Callithrix jacchus: one gene and its partners. The protein of the gene in region 1 interacts with the protein of each later gene in a biochemical or structural test. Links are inferred from orthologs where the notes say so. Each region holds a gene or a part of one and is shown in the gene's direction. Other genes may lie near its edges.

The links.
Region 2: of the proteins of H1-5 (region 1) and CCNB1, one has a biochemical effect on the other in vitro, tested with the Homo sapiens proteins (2 studies listed by BioGRID). The link is inferred for Callithrix jacchus from reciprocal best matches to the Homo sapiens genes H1-5 and CCNB1.
Region 3: of the proteins of H1-5 (region 1) and PRKCA, one has a biochemical effect on the other in vitro, tested with the Homo sapiens proteins (2 studies listed by BioGRID). The link is inferred for Callithrix jacchus from reciprocal best matches to the Homo sapiens genes H1-5 and PRKCA.
Region 4: the proteins of H1-5 (region 1) and HPF1 form a complex in vitro, tested with the Homo sapiens proteins (2 studies listed by BioGRID). The link is inferred for Callithrix jacchus from reciprocal best matches to the Homo sapiens genes H1-5 and HPF1.

What each region holds. Positions count from the first base shown.
Region 1 is NC_133505.1:3,157,445-3,161,750, forward strand, and holds H1-5 (histone H1.5), read left to right. Parts: upstream 1-2,050; 5' UTR 2,051-2,109; coding exon 2,110-2,784; 3' UTR 2,785-2,932; downstream 2,933-4,306. Other genes in the region: histone H2A type 1, read right to left, coding at 3,735-4,127. UniProt on the Homo sapiens protein: Histone H1 protein binds to linker DNA between nucleosomes forming the macromolecular structure known as the chromatin fiber. Histones H1 are necessary for the condensation of nucleosome chains into higher-order structured fibers.
Region 2 is NC_133503.1:140,368,158-140,373,411, reverse strand, and holds part of CCNB1 (G2/mitotic-specific cyclin-B1), read left to right. Parts: intron 1-2,365; coding exon 2,366-2,524; intron 2,525-2,725; coding exon 2,726-2,962; intron 2,963-3,239; coding exon 3,240-3,380; intron 3,381-3,646; exon of another isoform or gene 3,647-3,750; intron 3,751-4,427; coding exon 4,428-4,538; intron 4,539-4,704; coding exon 4,705-4,806; coding exon of another isoform or gene 4,807-4,812; exon of another isoform or gene 4,813-4,879; intron 4,880-5,219; coding exon 5,220-5,225; 3' UTR 5,226-5,254. UniProt on the Homo sapiens protein: Essential for the control of the cell cycle at the G2/M (mitosis) transition.
Region 3 is NC_133506.1:122,973,511-122,979,349, reverse strand, and holds the start of PRKCA (protein kinase C alpha type), read left to right. Parts: upstream 1-2,348; 5' UTR 2,349-2,621; coding exon 2,622-2,794; intron 2,795-5,839. UniProt on the Homo sapiens protein: Calcium-activated, phospholipid- and diacylglycerol (DAG)-dependent serine/threonine-protein kinase that is involved in positive and negative regulation of cell proliferation, apoptosis, differentiation, migration and adhesion, tumorigenesis, cardiac hypertrophy, angiogenesis, platelet function and inflammation, by directly phosphorylating targets such as RAF1, BCL2, CSPG4, TNNT2/CTNT, or activating signaling cascade involving MAPK1/3 (ERK1/2) and RAP1GAP.
Region 4 is NC_133502.1:121,469,949-121,475,794, forward strand, and holds the start of HPF1 (histone PARylation factor 1), read left to right. Parts: upstream 1-1,921; 5' UTR 1,922-1,962; coding exon 1,963-2,010; intron 2,011-5,718; coding exon 5,719-5,846. UniProt on the Homo sapiens protein: Cofactor for serine ADP-ribosylation that confers serine specificity on PARP1 and PARP2 and plays a key role in DNA damage response.

The sequences.
Region 1 (4,306 bases):
CTTGTGTAGCTGTAAATGTGGCAAGTTAACAAAAACCTGTAGAACATATTTAAGGTGACTTTCTGGCACGTAATACATGCTGAATGAGTATCAGCTCTTACTGTTACACCCCTGCTACCATTACCCATGGAGTTTTGGGATTCTTTTCTCTTGCATCTTGTAAGTTTTTTGTACGGAACAGTGGAAAGTGCTTGGTTGGAGTATTTTCTTGTGAAGATATCCTCTTCCTTAGTTCTCAATTTGCGTTGTTTGGTAAGAGGCCTATAGCAATATCTGTGTCCCTGTGGAGAAATTTATAACACAGCAAAACGACTAGATAATAAATAGTTTAGAGGCCATATCTAGTTTCTGTCACACATTCTTTTAAGTTTTTAGTTAGTTTTTTTGTTTTTTGAGACAGGATCTTGCTTCATCTCCCAGGCTTGAGTGCAATGGTGCGATCACTGCTCACTGCAGCCTTCATACCTTGAATTCAAGTGATCCTCCCACCTCCACCTGCCCGGCAGCTAAGACTACAGGGATGCGCCACCACACCCGGCAACGGTTTTTGTATTTTTACTAGAGATGGGGTTTCACGATGTTGCCCAGGCTGGTCTGGAACTCCTGAGCTCAAGCAACCCACCTATCCAGGTCTCCCCAAGTGCTGGGATTACAGGCATCAACCACCATGTGTGACCTTTTTAAAGACACTTCTTAGCTTGAGGGCCATACGGGAAGAAGCCGTTGCCCAGATTTGGCCATCAGGAGCTGGTAGAGAGAAGGCGGACTGTGTTGGCTTCTTTAAATTTTCTGGCACAGCATTTCCAGGGTAAGAAATAAGCGGCTGTTTATTTCATTAGAGATCCAAATCATTATCTGATTTTTTTTTTTAATCATTCAGGCATCCTGTCCATTCCCTTCCACCTCCCATAAATAGCAAACTTCACGTTCATTTCCACCTCACTGTATTTGCCTCTGTTGTTTTCCAGAACCTCTATAATCTGAAGTCTCTCAATATCCAATACAACCTTTTGACAGTCAATAGCCAGATAGTCTTCTAAAATATTAGTCTGTCTGCACTTAAACACACAAACATTCCCATACTGATGTATCCTAGCTGCTTTTAGAAGAGAGTACTCCTGATGATGCAGCTTGTTAAATGTTGATGGAGATTCAGGGGGCGCAGCGAAAACATTTTGAAAACCTGACAGAGACCCGGGTCACCAGTTTGTGCATCTGGGGGTCACTGGGAGCTCTTGAATAATTTTCCACAGATTTGAATTTTTTCTAAACTGAATTATCTATACTATTTTTCTTTCCCATTTTCATGGATTTTCCCAGGAACTAAACAGTGAAAACACTTTAATCAGAAAACATATCACATGTAAGTTTGAATTTGAATCAGTGCATTGGATTGTTAAAGCGGTATGTGTTACCCGTGCTACAACGCAGTCACTCTGACAGTGGAACTCTTCCAAGCTGCACAATCCCATTCTGTAAAGACATCAGCACATGGAAACTCCTGAGACAGAATCAGTTTGTAAAGTCAAGTCTTATGTGGTTGAGTTGGGGCTGTAGGCAACCAGCTGCCCTGTGCCTGTGTTACTTGCTACAGTTAGAAACAAAGTTCATGCCCAAACCAAGAAACACACTGTCTTTTCTCTCGCAAAAATCAAAGCCTGAACTCACGGGCAAAGTTTTAAAAGTAAGTTTCTCCGGATTCTTAGCAGAAATTTATCATGACACCCAACTAACCAACATGATGCCCTCGGTGCAATGGAGTCTTAGAGAAAGCTGAAGGGATTTTTTAAAAATATCTTTCACCAATTGCACGAGATTCGTGAAAACACAAACAAGTATGTGAACCTGGAGGCTGTTTTCCTCCTTTGGAGCTTCAAAGTGCCAAATTCTGTATCGTTATTTCAAGCATTTAATCAAATTTAGAGAACTAACAAACACAATTTGGGAGTCCAACCGCGAGCTGCGGCGGCCGGAGGGCGGTGGATTGGACGCTCCACCAATCACAGGGCAGCTCCGGCTTATATAAGCCCTGGGCCACGAGCATAGTAGCAATGCAAAACTTGCTCTTTGGATTTCGAGCTTAGTCTCTTCTAGCAGTTTCTTGTAGCCATGTCGGAAACCGCTCCCGCCGAGACGGCCACCCCAGCGCCGGTGGAGAAGTCCCCCGCTAAGAAGAAGACCACCAAGAAAGCGGCCGGCGCGGCCAAGCGCAAAGCGACCGGGCCCCCAGTCTCAGAGCTCATCACCAAGGCCGTGGCCGCTTCTAAGGAGCGCAATGGCCTTTCTTTGGCCGCTCTTAAAAAGGCCTTAGCGGCGGGTGGCTACGACGTGGAGAAGAACAACAGCCGCATCAAACTTGGTCTCAAGAGCCTGGTGAGCAAGGGCACCCTGGTGCAGACCAAGGGCACCGGTGCTTCCGGCTCCTTCAAGCTCAACAAGAAGGCGGCCTCCGGGGAAGCCAAGCCCAAGGCTAAAAAGGCGGGTGCCGCCAAAGCTAAGAAGCCCGCGGGGGCCACCCCTAAGAAGCCCAAGAAGGCTGCGGGAGCGAAAAAGGCAGTGAAGAAGACTCCGAAGAAGGCGAAGAAGCCCGCGGCGGCTGGAGTCAAAAAAGTGGCGAAGAGCCCCAAGAAAGCCAAGGCCGCCGCCAAGCCGAAAAAGGCAACGAAGAGTCCTGCCAAGCCCAAGGCTGTTAAGCCGAAGGCAGCAAAGCCCAAAGCCGCTAAGCCGAAAGCAGCAAAACCTAAAGCTGCAAAGGCCAAGAAGGCGGCTGCCAAAAAGAAGTAGGAAGCTGGCATGTGAAAACCGCAACCAAGCCCCAAAGGCTCTTTTCAGAGCCACTTACAGATCTCTAAAAAATTGCTGTACACCAAGTGACTTTGCCTTCTCACCCCGCCTTATGCTGAGGTGTGTGGCTAATAAACACGAGCAGAGATTCCTGGCGTTCGAATTATCTGGGGCAGTTTTTCTCCCCTTAGCTTAATTAATGGGGTCATGGTAGGCAAGCAGGAGCCCGGGGTGATGTCTGGACCTTCATGCAATTTCCCAAAGCAGTCAGTCATCAAAGCATGGCTTCCAGCTAGTGCTTCTGTCTGCAGAGTTCGTATCATGCTTTCTAGCCTGGCTACAGAAGTTTAAGCTTAAAAAGCCCGCTCTATAGTCTGATTGGTCAGTTTTTATTCCATCTGTTTTCCCCGCGTTTAAGCCGTTTAGGCGTCAGCCGCTTCGGCATTAAAAAATGTGTTCCCCACGCACACCGCTAATGGAGGAGGTTGGTGGAAGTAGCAAGTTTCAAGCTACATGCCGATTTGGGTATTTTAAAAATTAAAACATGTCACCCAGGCTGGCGCGTAGTGCCGTGGTTTCGACTCACTGCAGCCTCAACCTCCCGGGCTCAAGCGAACCCTCCCACTTCAGCCCTAGGACTACAGGCGTGCACCACTACGGCGGCGAATCTTTGTCGAGACGGGGTTCCGCTAGGCTTCCCAGGCCGATCTCGAATTCGAGTTCAGTGATTCTCCTGCCTCTACTTCCAGAAGTGTAGGGATTGCAGGCGAGTCACTGCGCCTCGCCCTGGACTTTATTGTTGGCTCGCGTACATGTAACATTGGATGAATAAACAGAGAATATAAAACGACTTATTCACATTTGACTTAAACCAGTGGCCCAGCACTTCCGCAGAAATAGTAGGTGGCTCTGAAAAGAGCCGTTGTACTGGAAAGTGATTCATGGACACATTATTTGCCCTTAGCCTTGTGGTGGCTCTCGGTCTTCTTGGGCAGCAGCACGGCCTGGATGTTGGGCAGGACGCCGCCCTGCGCGATGGTGACCTTGCCCAGCAGCTTGTTGAGCTCCTCGTCGTTGCGGATGGCCAGCTGCAGGTGGCGCGGGATGATGCGGGTCTTCTTGTTGTCGCGGGCCGCGTTGCCCGCCAGCTCCAGGATCTCGGCCGTCAGGTACTCCAGCACCGCCGCCAGGTAGACCGGCGCTCCGGCCCCGACCCGCTCGGCGTAGTTGCCCTTGCGGAGCAGGCGGTGCACGCGGCCCACGGGGAACTGAAGCCCGGCCCGGGAGGAGCGGGTCTTGGCCTTGGCGCGGGCTTTGCCGCCCTGCTTGCCGCGTCCGGACATGATTAAGAAACAATTTGCAAAGGGTGAAGAACAGTTTAGAGAAAGTCGCCAGAGCTCGGCTACTTATAGTCAATACTGGGCGCGAAAATAAAGCTGTGCGATTGGCTCAAATTACGACTGTATTTAAGCCAATGAAATCTCTGATGTTAAGTACACTTCTTTGGATTGGACAAAGGTGC
Region 2 (5,254 bases), on another chromosome or scaffold:
TTGCAGGCACATGCCACCATGCCTGGCTAACTTTTTGTATTTTTACTTGTTTTTTAGGTTTTGGTTTTGATTTTTTTTTTTTTTTTTTTGAGACAGGGTCTTGCTCTTTGCTCTGTTGCCCAGGCTGGAGTGCAGTGGCACAATTTCAGCTTACTGCAACCTCCGCCTCCTAGGTCAAGTGATTCTCATGCTTCAGCCTCCCGAGCAGCTGGGATTACAGGTGCCCACCACAACACCCGGCTAATTTTTGTATTTTTAGTAGAGATAGGGTTTCACTATGTTGGCCAGGCTGGACTCAAACTCCTGACCTCAGGTGATATCCTCCCCGCCCCACCCACCTTAGCCTCCCAAAGTGCTGGGATTACAGGCATGAGCCACCATACCCAGCCCGCAGTTGTTTTTATGCATTGTCTTATGTCATCATTGACATATTCATCTCTTTCCTGCTCCTTTTGAGCCTCTCCATTTTTTGTAGGTTCTTTGTTTGAGACAGAGCTTCACTATTCCTCCCCAGGCTGGAGTGCAGTGGTGTGATCTCTGCTCACTGCAACCTCTGCCACCTGGGTTCAAGCAATTCTCCTGTGTCAGCCTCCCAAGTAGCTGGGATTACTGGCATGCACCACCACACCCCTCTAATTTTGTATTTTTAGTAGAAATGGGATTTCTCCATGTTGGTCAGGGTGGTCTCAAACTCCCGACCTCAGGTGATCCAACCACCTTGGCCTCCCAAAGTGCTGGGATTACAGGCATGAGCCACTGCTCCCAGCCCTCCTTTTGGGCCTCTTCTTTTTCTATAGGATTCTTCTGCAAGAAGAGTTCTTTCAGGAGCAGCCTTCTACTTTGGGTTTCTTCTCACGTCTTGTACTTTTTAAAGTTGTGTTCTAACTTTGGAGGATTAAATTTAGTAAATGTGCTGTTTCTCGATGCTTCATTCTTGTTCTGTGAAAGGCCATATATGCAGAGCAACTCCCCCCAAATGTCAAAGGAGCCTAGAAACCAAGGAATAAGGCAGATAAATGGAGTTTGTTGGTATTGGGTGACTGATTAGGAGAAATTTACAGACAGAAGTATGGTCTCGTGTGGCTGAAAGATGTAGATCTCTGCACTGTAACTCCTCATACCCAGGGCTTGGGTATGTATACGTTTTCTTGGGGAAAGTATACATGCTCTAGAAGGAATGTGTGAGTGGCTATGGGAATGCTGCTGACATCACAGCCTATAATGTATATGATAGTATCAAGGGCTGTTTTGGAGGAAAGGCCAAACTTAGTGAACAGGCAGAAGTCACATGGAATTAGCATTTAAAATAAAGTCACTCTTGTCCCCACAGTTCTTAGCTATGTTGCTGTTGGGGTTTAGCCCTGGAGCAGGCAGAAATATTGTAGTACATGGGTTCCAGCTTCTCTGGGAGGTACTGATATTTTCTCTACATAAAGCTCAGGCTCTAGGTTTAAAGGCCTAAGTGAAAAGATCTGAGATGACAGTATAGTATCTTTATTTGGAAGGAAGTGGGCCAGCAGCAGCTGTGGTGAATTGAATATTGTAAGACCTGACAATATAAAAAAGCTGTCACACTGTCCTATCTAATGTCTTTTTTTGTTTGTTTGTTTTTTGTGGTTTTGGAGGCAGTCTTGCTCTGTCACCCAGGCTGGAGTACAGTGGTGCAATCTCAGCTCCCTGTAGCTTCCACCTCCTGGGTTCAAGCGATTCTCATGCCTCAGCCTCCTGAGTAGCTGGGACTACAGGCGCGAGCAACCATGCCCAGCTAATTTTTGTATTTTTAGAAGAGATAGGGTTTTGCCATGTTGGCCAGGCTGGTCTCAAACTTCTGGCCTCAAGCAATCTGCCCACTTCAGCCTCCCAAAGTGCTGAGATTACAGGTATAAGCCACCATGCTGGCCTTAATGTTTGCTTTCTTTCTTGGTGATGGTGTTTGTGGTGACTCTATGAATAACTGAATTAAGAACTTACATAGGCTGGGCGCGTTGGCTCACACCTGTAATCTCAGCACTTTGGGAGGCTGAGGCAGGTGGATCACCTGAGGCCAGGAGTTTGAAACCAGCCTAGCCAACATGGTAGAACCCTGTCTCTACTAAAACTCCAAAAAAAAAGCATTAGCCAGGCATGGTGGCACATGCACTCAGGAGGCTGAGGCAGGAGAATTGCTTGAACCTGGGAGGTGAAAGTTGCAGTGAGCCAAGATCGCACCATTGCACTCCAGCCTGAGCAACAAGAGTAAAACTTCATCTTAAAAAAAAAAAAAACTGATATTCTAAATGCCCCAGTGCTACTGTAGGAAGTAACTGATCTTTAATATATTACATGGAATCATGTTTCTAAGAATAATCAGCATTTTCTTTTACAGGAAGAGCAAGCAGTCAGACCGAAATACCTACTGGGTCGGGAAGTCACTGGAAACATGAGAGCCATCCTAATTGACTGGCTAGTACAGGTCCAGATGAAATTCAGGTTGTTGCAGGAGACCATGTACATGACTGTCTCCATTATTGATCGGTTCATGCAGGTGAGCATTTCAGTAAAAGTTTTCCCTGTTGGGATTCTAGCTGTCATAAGAAAATGACTTTCAGCTAAGATCTTTCTTGGAGGATTTGATGTTATTAAGATTTTGCTATGGAAGAATGACTGTCTGTCTACCTCTTCTCCATCATAGCTCTGTGTCTCCTTTTCACGTATTTTATTCATCCTGTTAAAATTCCCATTGCAGAATAATTGTGTGCCCAAGAAGATGCTGCAACTGGTTGGTGTCACTGCCATGTTTATTGCCAGCAAATATGAAGAAATGTACCCTCCAGAAATTGGTGACTTTGCTTTTGTGACTGACAACACTTACACTAAGCACCAGATCAGACAGATGGAAATGAAGATTCTAAGAGCTTTAAACTTTGGTCTGGGTCGGCCTCTACCTTTGCACTTCCTTCGGAGAGCATCTAAGATTGGAGAGGTAAAGGTTTCTTGAGAAACCTTTTGGTATGGGTACATTAGGGAACACTGCTGCTGACCAAGCAAGTCGAATTCAATTAAGTTGTATTATACCTAACTACATGGGGAAGGGATAAAGATGTTCTTTATTTCTAGTTGGGCTGCATGTTAATATTAGGGATTTCCATGGGCACTTGCATTTGAGTTTGTAGACAAACATTTGTAGTTAAAGATACATATGGGTATCCTTTCCAAAGGAAACTTTTCTGAAAGAAGCTCAGTGATGGGTTTTGTTTCAGGCTGATGTTGACCAACATACTTTGGCCAAATACCTGATGGAACTAACTATGTTGGACTATGATATGGTGCACTTTCCTCCTTCTCAAATTGCAGCAGGAGCTTTTTGCTTAGCACTGAAAATTCTGGATGATGGTGAATGGGTAAGCTCTGTCCCACAAAACTCCTAAACTTTTAAATTGTAAAGAGTATTTGACTGAATACAGGACTTTTGTTACTAAAATCCACTTCAAGTGGTTCATAAATATGGGATCTACTGAAGGAGTAGTTTAAAAAGATGTCTTAGAATGTTTCTACTTCTTTTTGTTTTTAAGACAAGGTCTTGTTCTGTCACACAGGCTGGAGTGCAGTGGTGCGATGCTGGCCCACTGCAACCTCACCCTCCCCTAGCTAGTTTTAATTTTTTTCATGTCAGATGGGTAATATGCCCACATTGTAACAAGGTTTGAGGGTAGCATATTTTACACGTTCACGTGAACACCCAATCATCACACTTATGAACTACAAAAGTGTCGCCCACCAGCCTGGGCAACATAGCAAATCCTCATCTTTACAAAAAATATTTAAAAACATATATATATATATACACACAGGCACATGCCTATAGTCCCAGCTACCCTGGAGGCTGAGCTTTGTAATTTTTGTAGAGACAAGGTCTCCTATCTTACCTAGGCTGGTCTTGGGCTGGGCTCAAGTGATCTGCCCACCTCCACCTCCCAAAGTGGTGGAATTATAGGCATGAGCCATTGCAACCAGCCAAGTGTTTCCATTTCTTTGCCTAATTTCAACTTTATTCCCTTTGATAAAGGTACAATAACTTCTTACAGATGGAGAAACTTGAAGCTCAAATAACATACTAGTAGTTCATATTCATTCATTCATTCAACAAATGCTTCTCCTATCTTAGGAATGGAACTATGACAAAGTTGGCCTCAAGGAAGTGGAGTCTAGTTTTAGCAGGGGGCAAGTCAGCAATTACAATAATGAAATTAGGTGTGAGCACAGGTTCCTATGGAAGCATGAGAGCACCTATTAAAGAGTCTTAGGCTTTGTCTTAAATTTCAATTATATTAATAATTAGTTATGCAGTACTCATCCCTTCCCCACTCCTGCATAACATCTAACATCTAGAAATTTTATGAAAATCATTACTGATTGAGCATTTTTAACATTAACTTTTGTTGTCTTAGACACCAACTCTACAGCATTACCTGTCATACACTGAAGAATCCCTTCTTCCAGTTATGCAGCACCTGGCTAAGAATATAGTCATGGTAAATCAAGGGCTTACAAAGCACATGGTGAGTCAATCTAGTGGCAGTGTAAGATGTTGAAAAGTGAAAAGAATGCAAACATCATGCCTGCAAATGCCTGGTTTATTTTGAATGAGTCAGTATTTTAAATGAATACCTGTATCATTGGATCTTGTGACTTTTTTTCCCCCTCTTTAATGCTTTTGTCTTCCAGACTATCAAGAACAAGTATGCTACGTCGAAACATGCTAAGATCAGCACTCTAGCACAGCTGAATTCTGCACTAGTTCAAGATTTAGCCAAGGCTGTGGCAAAGGTGTAACTTGTAAACTTGAGTTGGAGTACTATATTTACAAATAAAATTGGCACCATGTGCCATCTGTACATACTACTATTGCATTTACTTACTTTTAATAAAGCTTGTAGCCCCTTTTACTTTTTTATAGCCTAGCTCATTTGAATGTGGTTACTTCCTACTGTAGGGTAATGGAAAAGTTGTTTTAAAAGGTATGGTGGGGAATATTTTTAAAAACTGCTTTTGGTTTATCTGGGGACCCAATATGTTTATATACTTGGTTCTTGTTTTATGTACCTGGCTTTTACTTTATTAATATGAGTTACAGAAGGTGATGGAGGTATTTGAAAACTTTACTTCCATAGGACATACTGCATGTAAGCCAAGTCCCTGCCACCATGCCCAGCTAATGTTTTTTCTGTATTTTTTTGTAGAGATGAGGTTTCACCATGTTGGCCTGGCTGGTCTT
Region 3 (5,839 bases), on another chromosome or scaffold:
TCATGACTGATTGACTACCCCCAACCCAGGGGTTCTCCCTTCCTTAATCCCCTCCGTTTTATTTATACCATGAGGACTTCAGGAGGGCCGCAGGAGTAAAGGGGGGGCCTACATTTCCATTAGTCCTTGCTAGGGGCAGTGTTACACTGCTTGGTAATTGCTAATTCCCCACTCCAGGTGCACAGTCCCCTCTCCCCAACTGAGCTAAGATGTAGGCTATTGATGCTTTCATGCCCAGCCCAACTATGAATCAGTTGACTTCCAGCTATTCCTCCTTGTACCCAACAGGAGCAATAATAACAACTGAGGCAAGTATGCAAAGCCACAACCTAAAAGAAAAGAGACACATTGTTCCATCTGATCTACTGACAGCTAAGACAGACACTCCTTGGAATATACAAGAAATTCTCAGGCTGCTGCCAGGGCTCATTTTTTTCTTGTCTACCCTGTGACTTTGCTCAGGGATTCCACTCTCAGCAGTTCCATCCTCTAGCTCTCTCCATCCTCACATCAAAGCCTCAGGGATATAGAAAGAAGCTTGTCTTCGTAAAATGTGCCAGGACCTCTGTCTTAGATAAAAGACGACTATGAGAAAAGAAATTATTTCATTATACTACTATGTTCCATCTGATTTCTGCTTTTGAGAAATAAACAACCATGGCTTGAGATGCTTTTAGTGTTTCATGGAGAATTGGGACTATTTCCCCGACATGCCCTGCTCCTCAGTTCCTCATTGCTTCTTCCCTTTTTGCCTCGTTGGACTCGAGGGGCGACCGTGAATGGTGAAATTTCTGACCAGGTAGAATACCAGGCAGGTGCAGGCTCCTGAAGCACCAGTAAGACTGACTCAAAAGATTGTAAATGGGTCAGCCAAGAGCATGCGCCACTGATGGCCAGTCAGGAGCGCTTCCATTTGCTAAAATATAAAAGGCATTCCTATCATTAAGCATCACAATTAGACAATCTCAAAGAAAAAAATGTTAGCTCTATTTGGCCTACGTGGTATGCTCTAAGGAAGTATTTTAGAAAAGTTTTTTTTTTTTTTCTTTTAACAAAAATTTATTGACGGATCAAACGTGTTCTCTTTCTTGGTGTCTTTAGCTCGTAAAGTCGTTTTGTGAACTTCCTGAATCTGGCAATGAAATGAAATGGATGAGAAATGCTGAGAGATGATTTTCCTCAAGTATTTCAGCGGCCTCCAGACAGACCTGATAAATATTCAGAGAGTGATTAGCTGGTGCATCCCCACCTGCGTCCTTTGCATAGCCAGGCCCGCTACCATTTCACAGGCAGTTTTACTTGGTAATTTACAAATGTACTGGCTGCATTCTGCACCTGACAGTAGCGCAATAATTAGCTTGGGATGCAAAATGATTTCTAAATTAAGGTCCTGGACTTGTAAAATCAAGAAAGCCTGATAATCAACATCGTTGCTCTGGTGGCCAATGAATAACGGGATAAATGCCTAGGACAAGTCCCTTAACCATCCCACGTGGTGATACATGTCCGACATACAAATTAAAAATCTCTACTACACGCAGGTGAAATACCGTATAGGTCAAGAAGAGAAGACAGGGGAAAGGGTCAGTGCTTAATTATTTAAAATCGCTCTTTTTCTCCTGCAGAAAGGTCTAGAGGCTGGGTCTTTTAGGGCAAACGCTATGAGAGGGACATTTTGGCCAGGGGAGACCTCCAGCTGCTACAGGCTGCTCAAGCAGGGGCGTCGTGCCCTGGAGACACCGGGGGTCCTGAGGATGCGGTAGGGGCTCCCTGCTGCGTGTGCTCACGGGGAAAGGGGTGAGCGCTGGGCGGGAGGCCCGGGGCAGGTGCTGCGCGTGGAGCCCACTCCGGGACGCCGGCTCCTCTCGGCCGGGCACCGGCAGCGCAGAACTCCAAGCCCAGAGCCAAGACAGAGAGAGAGCGGGAGTGGGAGGAGGAAGGCGGGGAGAGGAGGAGGCCGGGCGGCAGGAGCGGAAGAAGAGGAGGCGAGCAGAGGCGGAGGAGGGCAAGAGGGAGGAGAGCCGGGCGCAGGAAGGGGAGGACGAGGAGGAAAGAGAAAGGCGGCGGAGGAGCGCGGACCCGCCACTCCCGGCCTCCTCCCCCGCATCCCCACCTCGGGCCATCCCTCCCCGGGCCGCCGCCGCTTCCTCTGCCCAGTCTTCCCAGCGCCGCGAGGCGCTTGCAGCCTCCTCCCCACTCGACCCGGCCCGCGCGGCGCACTCCCCCCTCGCGCGCCCCCGCCACTCTCGCCCGCGCGGCCTCGCACTCGGGGCATGCGCGGTGGGCGGTGCCGCTCCGGGCCGCCTCTACCGCCGCGAGTAGGAAGCGCGAGCGCCGGGCGCCGGGCTGTCAGTGAGCGTGGGGCCAGCGAGCGAGCCAGCGGCTCCGGCTCCGGCTCTGGCTCCGGCTCCTGCTCCGGCTCCCACTCCCTCTCCGCGCCGCACCGGCCCGACTCTCCCCGGTCCCCGCCGCGCCCCCTCGCCGCCGCGACCTCGGCCCCCGGCCCGCGCCCCCCACCCAGGGTCGCCCCGGGCCCGCGCCCCTCCCCCGCCGCCCCCGCCCCCCCCCGGCCCTCCCCGGCCGCTGCTCCCCGGCGGAGGCAAGAGGTGGTTGGGGGGACCATGGCTGACGTTTTCCCGGCCAACGACTCCACGGCGTCTCAGGACGTGGCCAACCGCTTCGCCCGCAAAGGGGCGCTGAGGCAGAAGAACGTGCACGAGGTGAAGGACCACAAATTCATCGCGCGCTTCTTCAAGCAGCCCACCTTCTGCAGCCACTGCACCGACTTCATCTGGTAGGTGCCCGGCCGGGCGCCCCTGCCCGCTGCTCCCCGCCTCCGGGTCCCGGCCCCGGGCGCTCGGGCGCGTCTGCTCCGGGGCTGGCTCACTCCGAGAACTTGGAGCCGGCGAGAGTCCGAACTCTCGCCCGGAGTGACACGCGCGCCTGGCCCTGACACCCGCGGGCAGGACTCCTGGGACGTCGCCACCCCGCCACACACCCCCTGGCGCGGGACGGAGGCTGGCCCCCTGCGCTGGCGGCGGGGATCGCTCCCCGGGCCGCGTCCCTCACCACCTCCCCATGCTCGCCCACTCGCACGCACCCAGCAGAGCGGCCGCTTGCAGGGATGGGAGCCCAGGAGACAGGGGAGGGGGACAGGCCAAAAGGGGCAGAGGTTCCTGGAGAAACGCGCCCGGGAGTAATGGGGGAGCGGCAGCGATCGCGCCGCGTGCGGTCCAAGTTGCTGGCGAGCCAGGCTGGGCGCGTTCGGGGGAGGGGGTGTGTTTGTGCTTCCAATAGGGCTGGACTGCGCTGGAATCTTGGGCCCCTGCCTACTGTAGGCTGCATCTACTGGGCACGGAGAGACTTTGACTTTTCTAAGTGAGCAGAGAGAGAACAAACTGTTGAAAGCTTGCAGTGGGGGAGGGGAAGTTCTAGCAGGCAAATGGCAGAAGGGCAGAGGAACTCATTTAAAATACACCCTGTTGTCCAGGCGCGGTGGCTCACGCCTGTAATCCCATCACGTTGGGAGGCAGAAGTGGGCGGATCATCTGAGGTCAGTAGTTCGAGACCAGGTTGGCTAGCATGACGAAACCCCATCTTTACTAAAAATACAAAATTATCTGGGCGTGGTGGCACACGCCTGTAATCTCAGCTACTCCGGAGGCTGAGGCGGGAGAATTGCTTGAACCCGGGAATCGGAGGCTGCAGTGAGCTGAGATCGGGCCACTGTACTCCAGCCTGGGTGAGACAGAGCAAGACTCTGTCTCAAAAAAATAAAACAGACCCTGTCAACACGAGATTAGACCTGTAGCCCTGTGGACGAGGACAGAGCTCTTAAGAAATATAATGTCAGGGCCAGAGGTGTCAGAGATCGAGTAACTTCCAATGAATGCAGGCATTCTTAACTCGAGTGGGCCATGCTGAGGGCTTATGGAGAACCCATAGGTAGAAGGGCTTTAGGGGTTTCTGAACCCTGTGGAACTGGGTGAAATTGTGTTTGTGAATCTTTTTCTTTCCTGGTGAGAGAATTACAGCTTTTATCTGATTTCTCAAAAGGTCTGTGACCATTCTTCCCAGATCCCCATCTCCCCACAAAAGTTTAGAAAGCTAGAACTAAAGGAGCTCTAGGTCCTGTAGATAAGACATACCAGTAGTTTGGTTTTTCTCTTAGGTTGCCCGATGTCCTGACTCTTCTACCTCTTCTTTGTGATGTAGGAAAAGTTACCGACAAGACAGAGCTATGGCAAGGGCTTCTAAGCTCCCTCCCCTTCTAGGCTGTAGGGAGCTGCACAGGGTGACAGCCACGGAGTGAATCTTGCCACCAGCCAGCTGTGTGGCACAGGTATCTTGGGCCACTAGGGTGAACATAGTGTGGATGGCTCTGTCTGAATCCATCAAATCTGGGGAAAAACATCCCAAAGGGCAAGTCCCATGATCGTGGTGCTAATATGGTGTTTAATTTTTCCTTTTCTTTTTAGACATCTGCTCCAAAGTACACTTTTCATAAAAGCACAACCACCTCTATGAGTGATTTCCACTGTCTAGTCAGCATATGAAGCGATTGTGCTGAAAGGAGTAGGTAATCGTAGATAAGGCTATTTAAAATAAAAATTTCAGAGCATCAAGGCAAAGAGAATCTTGCATTTGATTAAGAGGAGGTGGTCAGCTGTGAGAGTCCATTAAAAGGGAACAGACTGCTGGTGACTTTTGCAGGAAGTGGGAGAGTTGGACACGGGACTTGCAGCGTACCTAGGCTAGCTAATGTCTTTCAGCTATTAGTTTTCCTTGAAGGATCAGCCCCTGGTGAGCTGAATAGGTGCTCAGGTCACAGCAGTATTGTGAAGTGGAAAAGAAAGGCCTCCCTGAGTATCCCTGCAGCACTCTTCATTTCTTTGTAAACCAGTTGGAAGTCCCAGGAAAACATCCTCGGGGATTGTCTTTTTCAGTTTGCTTTCATTATTGCTTCTATGGGGTCCTTGACTTTCAAGTTCATTTCAATATTGAATCACTGATAGTTTTAAGCTAAATGTTTAGAGTTAGCTGTGGTTTTTGGTGGGGAGATGACTAAGTTAATTTTAAAAGTATGTGAAGTACTTTGTACACTTAAAATTCTATTCGAAGCAAGAGATTATGACTTTCAACCTTCTGAGGAAATTTTGATGCAGTTCATTCTAATGGAACACTAGTTGGCAATTGCATGTCCATGTCGGGGTTCTCTGCTTACAGAGTAAATTCTCTAAAGTAATTTACAAGAACAAAACAGTCTCTGCATGTGCTTTGAATGCTGTTAGTTTTCAGTAGAAATTAGATCATGGTAATCTCAAATTCAAACAGTAGGGTGATATTTTCTAAGATCTGGTTCCTTAAGCCAAAATTAAATGTTAAAAGCGATGCCGTTTGGCAATTTCTGGATGTGTAGTATTTTAAACAAATGCATAATAAGTAAGCCACTTGGTTGTCTTTAGAGAGAAAAAAGCAATTTTCATTTGATCTTCAGGAACAAAATTAAGCTATTTCCTTTTTAAATTTTAACCATAAACTCTTTTGTTACTTGAACATTGTATTGTAGCCAACAACTCTGAATATTCAGTCATGTTCTTGTCTTGAAGTTTTAGTATCAATAACTTAGTATAAAAAATTGGAAAGAAGCTTGATACATTGAAATTGTTCAGTGATCCTTTACAGGCAAGATAGTTTTCCCCCCAAGGTTGAATTTACACAGTAATCTGACTAGATATTTAGGTATTTTTTCCTATTAAATAATTACGTTTCACATACAGACCTTTAGCAGTGGAATACTTGGTCACATAACTTGTTTAAAACATGCTATCCAACACAA
Region 4 (5,846 bases), on another chromosome or scaffold:
TCTCTGGAGAACCTCGACTAACACAGAGCATCTGATGAAATTAAGACTCCCAGCCTCCTTCCCGCATTGGGCACCCCACGAAGGCTGTATATTCTCAAAGCAAGTAATTAGAATATTACTCTCTAGAACAAAATAAACAGCTGGTCCTTGCCCCCTCATCTTACACGTTGTCCAGCAGTGAACAAGCCTTGCCTATTTCCCCAAAGCACCTTTTTAGAGTATCACTTTTACATATAAATTGACGGCAAAAAACACCACACAAGATGAAGAATGTCTCTAGCAGAAATAACAGAGACCAAAACATAACCAACCAACCAAAAAAGACTCGAAAGAATCAAGGTCAATGCAGAGTTTTGTAGAAAGCATTTTAAAAACCCAATAATTTACATCTTCAGAGATAAAAGCAGCTATATTCATGAAAAAATAATGTAATGCTATAAAAGAACAGAAAATAAAAAGGGCACTTAGTAATGACAGTATGATAAAAGAAAAAATAATCTGATAGTCATTTGTCCAATTAAGTTGGAAAAGTCACAGAGAAAATAGAACAAAAAGATAAAGAGATAGAAAGTAGGACAGACAGGTAAGAAAAACTATCAGCCAAGAAGATCCACAATCTAAATAACAAATTTCAAAAAATAAAAGATACAATGGTGGGGGGGGAGAAATGATCAAATCTCCCAGGAGAATTCCCACAACTGAAGAATATGTGTTTCAGGACTGAAAAACTGATCAATAGGAATGAGAAAAGACCCATAACCAAAACACTCGATTATATCTTAGAACACTGGGAATAAAAAGAAGATCCTAAAGCTTCTTGTGACAAAACAGAAACGAAAGTGAGTTACATATCGAGAAATTTAGTGACCTGTGTGGCAGAAAGAAATACCATAATGTAGAGTTTCTCAACAATTCTGAAAGCTAAGATATTGTGGAACAAGCCCTCCAATATTCCGAGTGAAAGTTATTTTCAACCTAGAATTCTGTGCTCAGCCAGAATAAAAACAGTTCTAGACATGCACACTCTGCGGGAAAAAAGACCTGCAGCAAACTCCCTCAAGGAACTACTGGAGGATATGTTCCACAACATGAGGGTATATAATCAAGAAAAAGGAAGACACAGATTCAGGAAATAGAGAACTCATCTCAGGAATAAGGAATAAAACCTTTCTAGGATAGATGTGAAGGAGACCCAAGGACATCAGTTGAGAGCTGTGCCTTCCAAATTTTGATGTGCATAGGAATTACCAGGGGATCTTGTTGCAACGCAGATACTGATTCAGTAAGTCTGGGTAGGCCCTGAGATTTGGCGTTTTTAACGAATTCCCTCACGATGCTGAGGTTGCTGGTTCAGAGACTACATTTTGCATATCAGAGGTGTAGAGAAAAAACAGTCCAAATCCTAACAAGAAGACTACGGTACAGAGAGACACACACACAGACATTTATCTCCTTCTCGGAGATAATCAGAAATGAATTAGTGAAAACCAATAACTGTACAGTTGGGGAGGGAGAGGGATGGAGGAAAAGGAGAAAAGGATTAATATTTTAAGTAAATACAAATGAAGAAAAAACAAGGAAGGCGCTGTATTTACGGCAGCCGCATACATCCAACCCTGTCTCTACTAGACACCTGAAGAGGAAGGTTGGACCACACGAACGGATTCAGATTTAGTAGCCTGGGGGTCTCTGGAGCGACCCTGGAATATACTTCAGAAAGCCTAGATGCGGACCACGCTGACGGACGACGCACCTTCACCACGCCCTGCCCGGGAGCGGGCGGGGCCTCAATGCGCCAAGCGCCGGGTCTCAGGGGGCGGGGCATGGGCGGAACCTTTCCTTAAAATTGGCGCGCCCGGGCGGTGCTGGGATTCGGATTGGAGGCTTTTGAACCCGGAAGCAGTTGGTGGCGCCCGGAAGCAGTCGCGGATCCGGGCATTCTGGTGGCGCTGCAACTGCAGAATGGTACGCGGTGGCGGGAAGCGCAGGCCCGGCGGGGAGGGGCCGCAGGTACTGGCAGAAAGGGTGTGCGGGCTACGCGGGGCGCTTTGGGTGACAGCCAGGGCACCAGGAGGCAGCGCATTTCATTTTGCCAGTGCCTATTAAGCTTGCTGTGTGTCCGGGGGTTTCGGTTTGTTGCGGGGGCCCTGCCCAGGGTCGCTGTTTTTGTGCTCTGTAGGGTTTGGACCAGGAAAGTAGCCCCTCTGCGTCTTCGGCCCTGCTCCTCTTGGCGCATTTCCTGGGGAAACGTATTAAGCCAACCAACGGTTCATTCACTCACCCTGCCAGATTGATTGGGAACCCATTACATACCAGACATTGTGTGGGGCGCTGCGGATTCGGGGTCAACCCGTCTGCCCCTCCTGCTTTTAGAGCCCCCGGCCTAGCGGGGAGAGGCACAAGCTAAAATGCATTCTACTGTGACTTTTTAGTTTGGGATTATAATACTTGTGTGTAGAAAGTGCTGTGGAGACACTGAAGGAGGATTTAATAAGTCCCAGGGGGTGTTAAGACTTGTAAGAGAAATCTTTGAAAATGAGTTTTGAAGGCAGAGAAGTAAGATTCTGAGACGTAAAAGTGTAGGAGATGTTTGGGCATAGCGGAGCGTTCGGCTTGGCTGCAGCCAAGGAAATGGGAAAGTAAGAGGAGCTAATCATAAAAGCGCTACTGAGAGAGGAGGGGAAGAAAGTGTGTGCGTTCTCTCATACTTTACGACGATTTCGAAAGTTCCGTAACCACTACAGTAGCAATAAGGGGAATCAGGCAGGAAAGAAGTGCCATTGTGATAACTAAAGTTTTTAGAAAAATTACTCTGGCAGTGTTATAAATCGGACAGGTGAGACATTCTAAGAGGGCTTGATTAACTTGATTAAAGGGCCATGGGTATAGGCATTCTTCATATTGGGTCATGCATTCTAGGAGTACCAGGTAAAGGAAAAGTGTAGCCTCTGAAGGGGACAGCTGTCCTAAATTCTAGTTGTTAGGGTTATGGAGATGCTAAACTAGTGTGTGAGTGAAGGCACAGCTGAAAACATTCTCTTCGAAGATGCAGTGAAGAACTGCTTTGGTGGAGTGCTGCGCTTAACGAGAAATACAATACCAGAAATGATGAGTCTATAGAGACTATAGCCATAATGGCCAGCATTTGCGTATTATGTGCTAGGACTGTTCTGTGTATTTTTACATATAATAACTTATTACTTGTAACAACCCTTTGCCCTTTTTGCAGATAAGAAAACAAGGCACAGAAAGGTTGAGTAACTTGCTTAAGGTTGGAAATCAGTACAGTCAGAGTCAACCTAAACGTTATGCAAATTTGCGTTTCATAAAGGCAGATTAAGCCTTTTCTAACATCTTAAGTTGGAGCCAGTCTGAAATTCTGACCAAAGACATTTACAAAAGCAGAAGATAGGATAGCTCAGGGCTTAATATGTTCCTACTGTTCCATATTTGCAGTTGGAGAAGAAACATAATGAAGTGATGAAGAATCTGCTGTGGAGCCGGATTTAAACCTGAGTTTAAATCCTTTCTCTTCCACTTCCTAGTTAGGGACATAGGGAAGTTAGCCTCAGTTTCCTTAGCTGCAAGATGAGGTTAATAGTATCTAGTGCATGAGTTAGTTGAGGATTAAATGAGTTAATCCACAGAAAGTGCTTAGAACAGTGAAACAGCACAAAATAAGTTTTCAGTAATTATTTACTACTTGTTTTTACTATTATCTTTACTGTTACTATTTGCTATTATTGATACTCACTTTTGATACTCATTTTTCAACAGCCTTTTTGTTCAACGTAATTCTTTTTTAAATCAGATGCATTATAATCCTTAGCATAATAAACTGTTACCATTGTTCAAATCATGATCGTTTTTTACCTTATTTGTGTTAAGTAATGTAACAAACACCTGTGAACCCATTGCCCAACCCCAAAACTGAAACAGACAATGGCTCTACATCAACACGTGTTCCTCCCCTATCCTTTAAGCCTTCTTCTTGTCACTCATGTTCAGTGTAGCTATCCTGAGTTTTATTTTCCCTTGCCTTTTTAGAATAGGCTTATCCCCTATGAATGTATACTTAAACAATGTTTATTTTTAGTTTTCGAACTTCATAAAAAGGCTATCATTCTGGATATAATCAAGAACTTTTTTCCTCATTAAAAATATTTAATACAGATTGGTCCATATTGTGTAGTTATACAGTAACCATTCAGCAAATGAAAGAATGGTTCCAGGACTCCCACACATCCCAAAATCCAAGCATACCCAAGTTCCAAAGTTGGTCCTGTGGAACCCGAGTATACAAAAAGTTGACCCTCTCTATAAGTGGATTTTGCATCCCAAGAATACTGTATTTTTTTAATTTGCATTTGGTTGGGGAAAAAAAGTCGTGTATAAGTGGGTCCACAAAATTCAAACCCTTGTTGCTGAAGGGTCAACTGTAATATTAGGTGTAATAGTCTTGCTTGGAAGCCTTATAACTATTCTCCTACCAGTAGGTATTTCATTTGTTCTGTTTGCTCTTGGAATCATCGCCATCATGACCATTTTTGTGTCACCTGATTCATTAATACATTTTGTAGATGTTGAATGATATCTAACATAACATTAATAAACTTCAGCCTACTGGGAAAATTGAAGAATATAAATATGAGAAATGTCTAGCTGAGAATTTCTCAACTTTAGCACTGTTGACATTTGAGCTAGTAGTCTTTGTTGAGGTTGCCTATCCTGGGCATTGTAAGATGTTGAGCATCCCTGGCCTCTGTTCCACCAGATGCCACTAGTACCCTTCTTCCAATTCATTACAACTACATAGGGCTCCAAATGTCCCCTGTGGGGCAAAATCACCACCAGTTGAGAACCACTGCTCTAAATAGAATAAAAGGAAAGAACTTAATTTAAAAAGAATGAAACTGGGTTCCTAGAAAGAAAAACAGATTGCTTCTTAGAAAACTAAATGTATGTAACCTCCAGTTGTGTATATTATCTTTACAGAAATTTATCAAATGTCTAATAGGCAAAATAAAACCTAGCATACTGAACCTATATTGCAGTGGTGCTAGAGATGAGTATTGTAACCTAATCCTGGCATTAAAAGGTCTTTTCTGAAATAATTGGATTTTTGGCCTAGAGTTTAGTGCTATTCTGCTTTGTTAGGAACTGTGGATGTTTAACATTGTTAAAGAGAATGTTTAACCTTCCCTCTTTATTTGGAAAATCAAAAGGGAGGTGTCTGTTTTTATGGCTGGTTAATGATTGTAGTGAATAGCTCAGACACAGCTCTGGATGTTTCTGAAGAAATAGCTTTTTAAATGATGCATTGCTTATATCCAGTTACTTCTGTTTTCTGGTGTGATCAATGAATCTGCTTAAAAGACTCACATGTTTAACCAAAAGAGGGCAAAACCTGCCCTTTCTTTATTCTTCTCTTCCTGCTAGTACCTTTTTTACCTTTTTTTTTTTTGTGGTTTCCATTATCTTAGAAAAATATATTTAAAGACTTGCTGTGTGGATTCCTCTTAACCATGTAAACTATTCTTTTTTCTGTGCCCAAAGGAATTCCCAGATTTTACTCAAATACTATTTAGAGAGTTTTAAGGAAAACATATACTATCTCACAGAGTTGGGTGAACAAGAGTGAGTGATGTTATGCAAGGAGAGTTACTGAAATTACTAAAGATAATTTGGAGAAATAAAGTTTTGTGTGCCAATTTTCAGTGTGAAAACACAGTTGATGTGAAGAAAAGTAAATTTTGTGAAGCTGATGTCTCCAGTGACCTTCGAAAAGAAGTAGAAAATCATTATAAGCTCTCTTTACCTGAAGATTTCTATCACTTCTGGAAGTT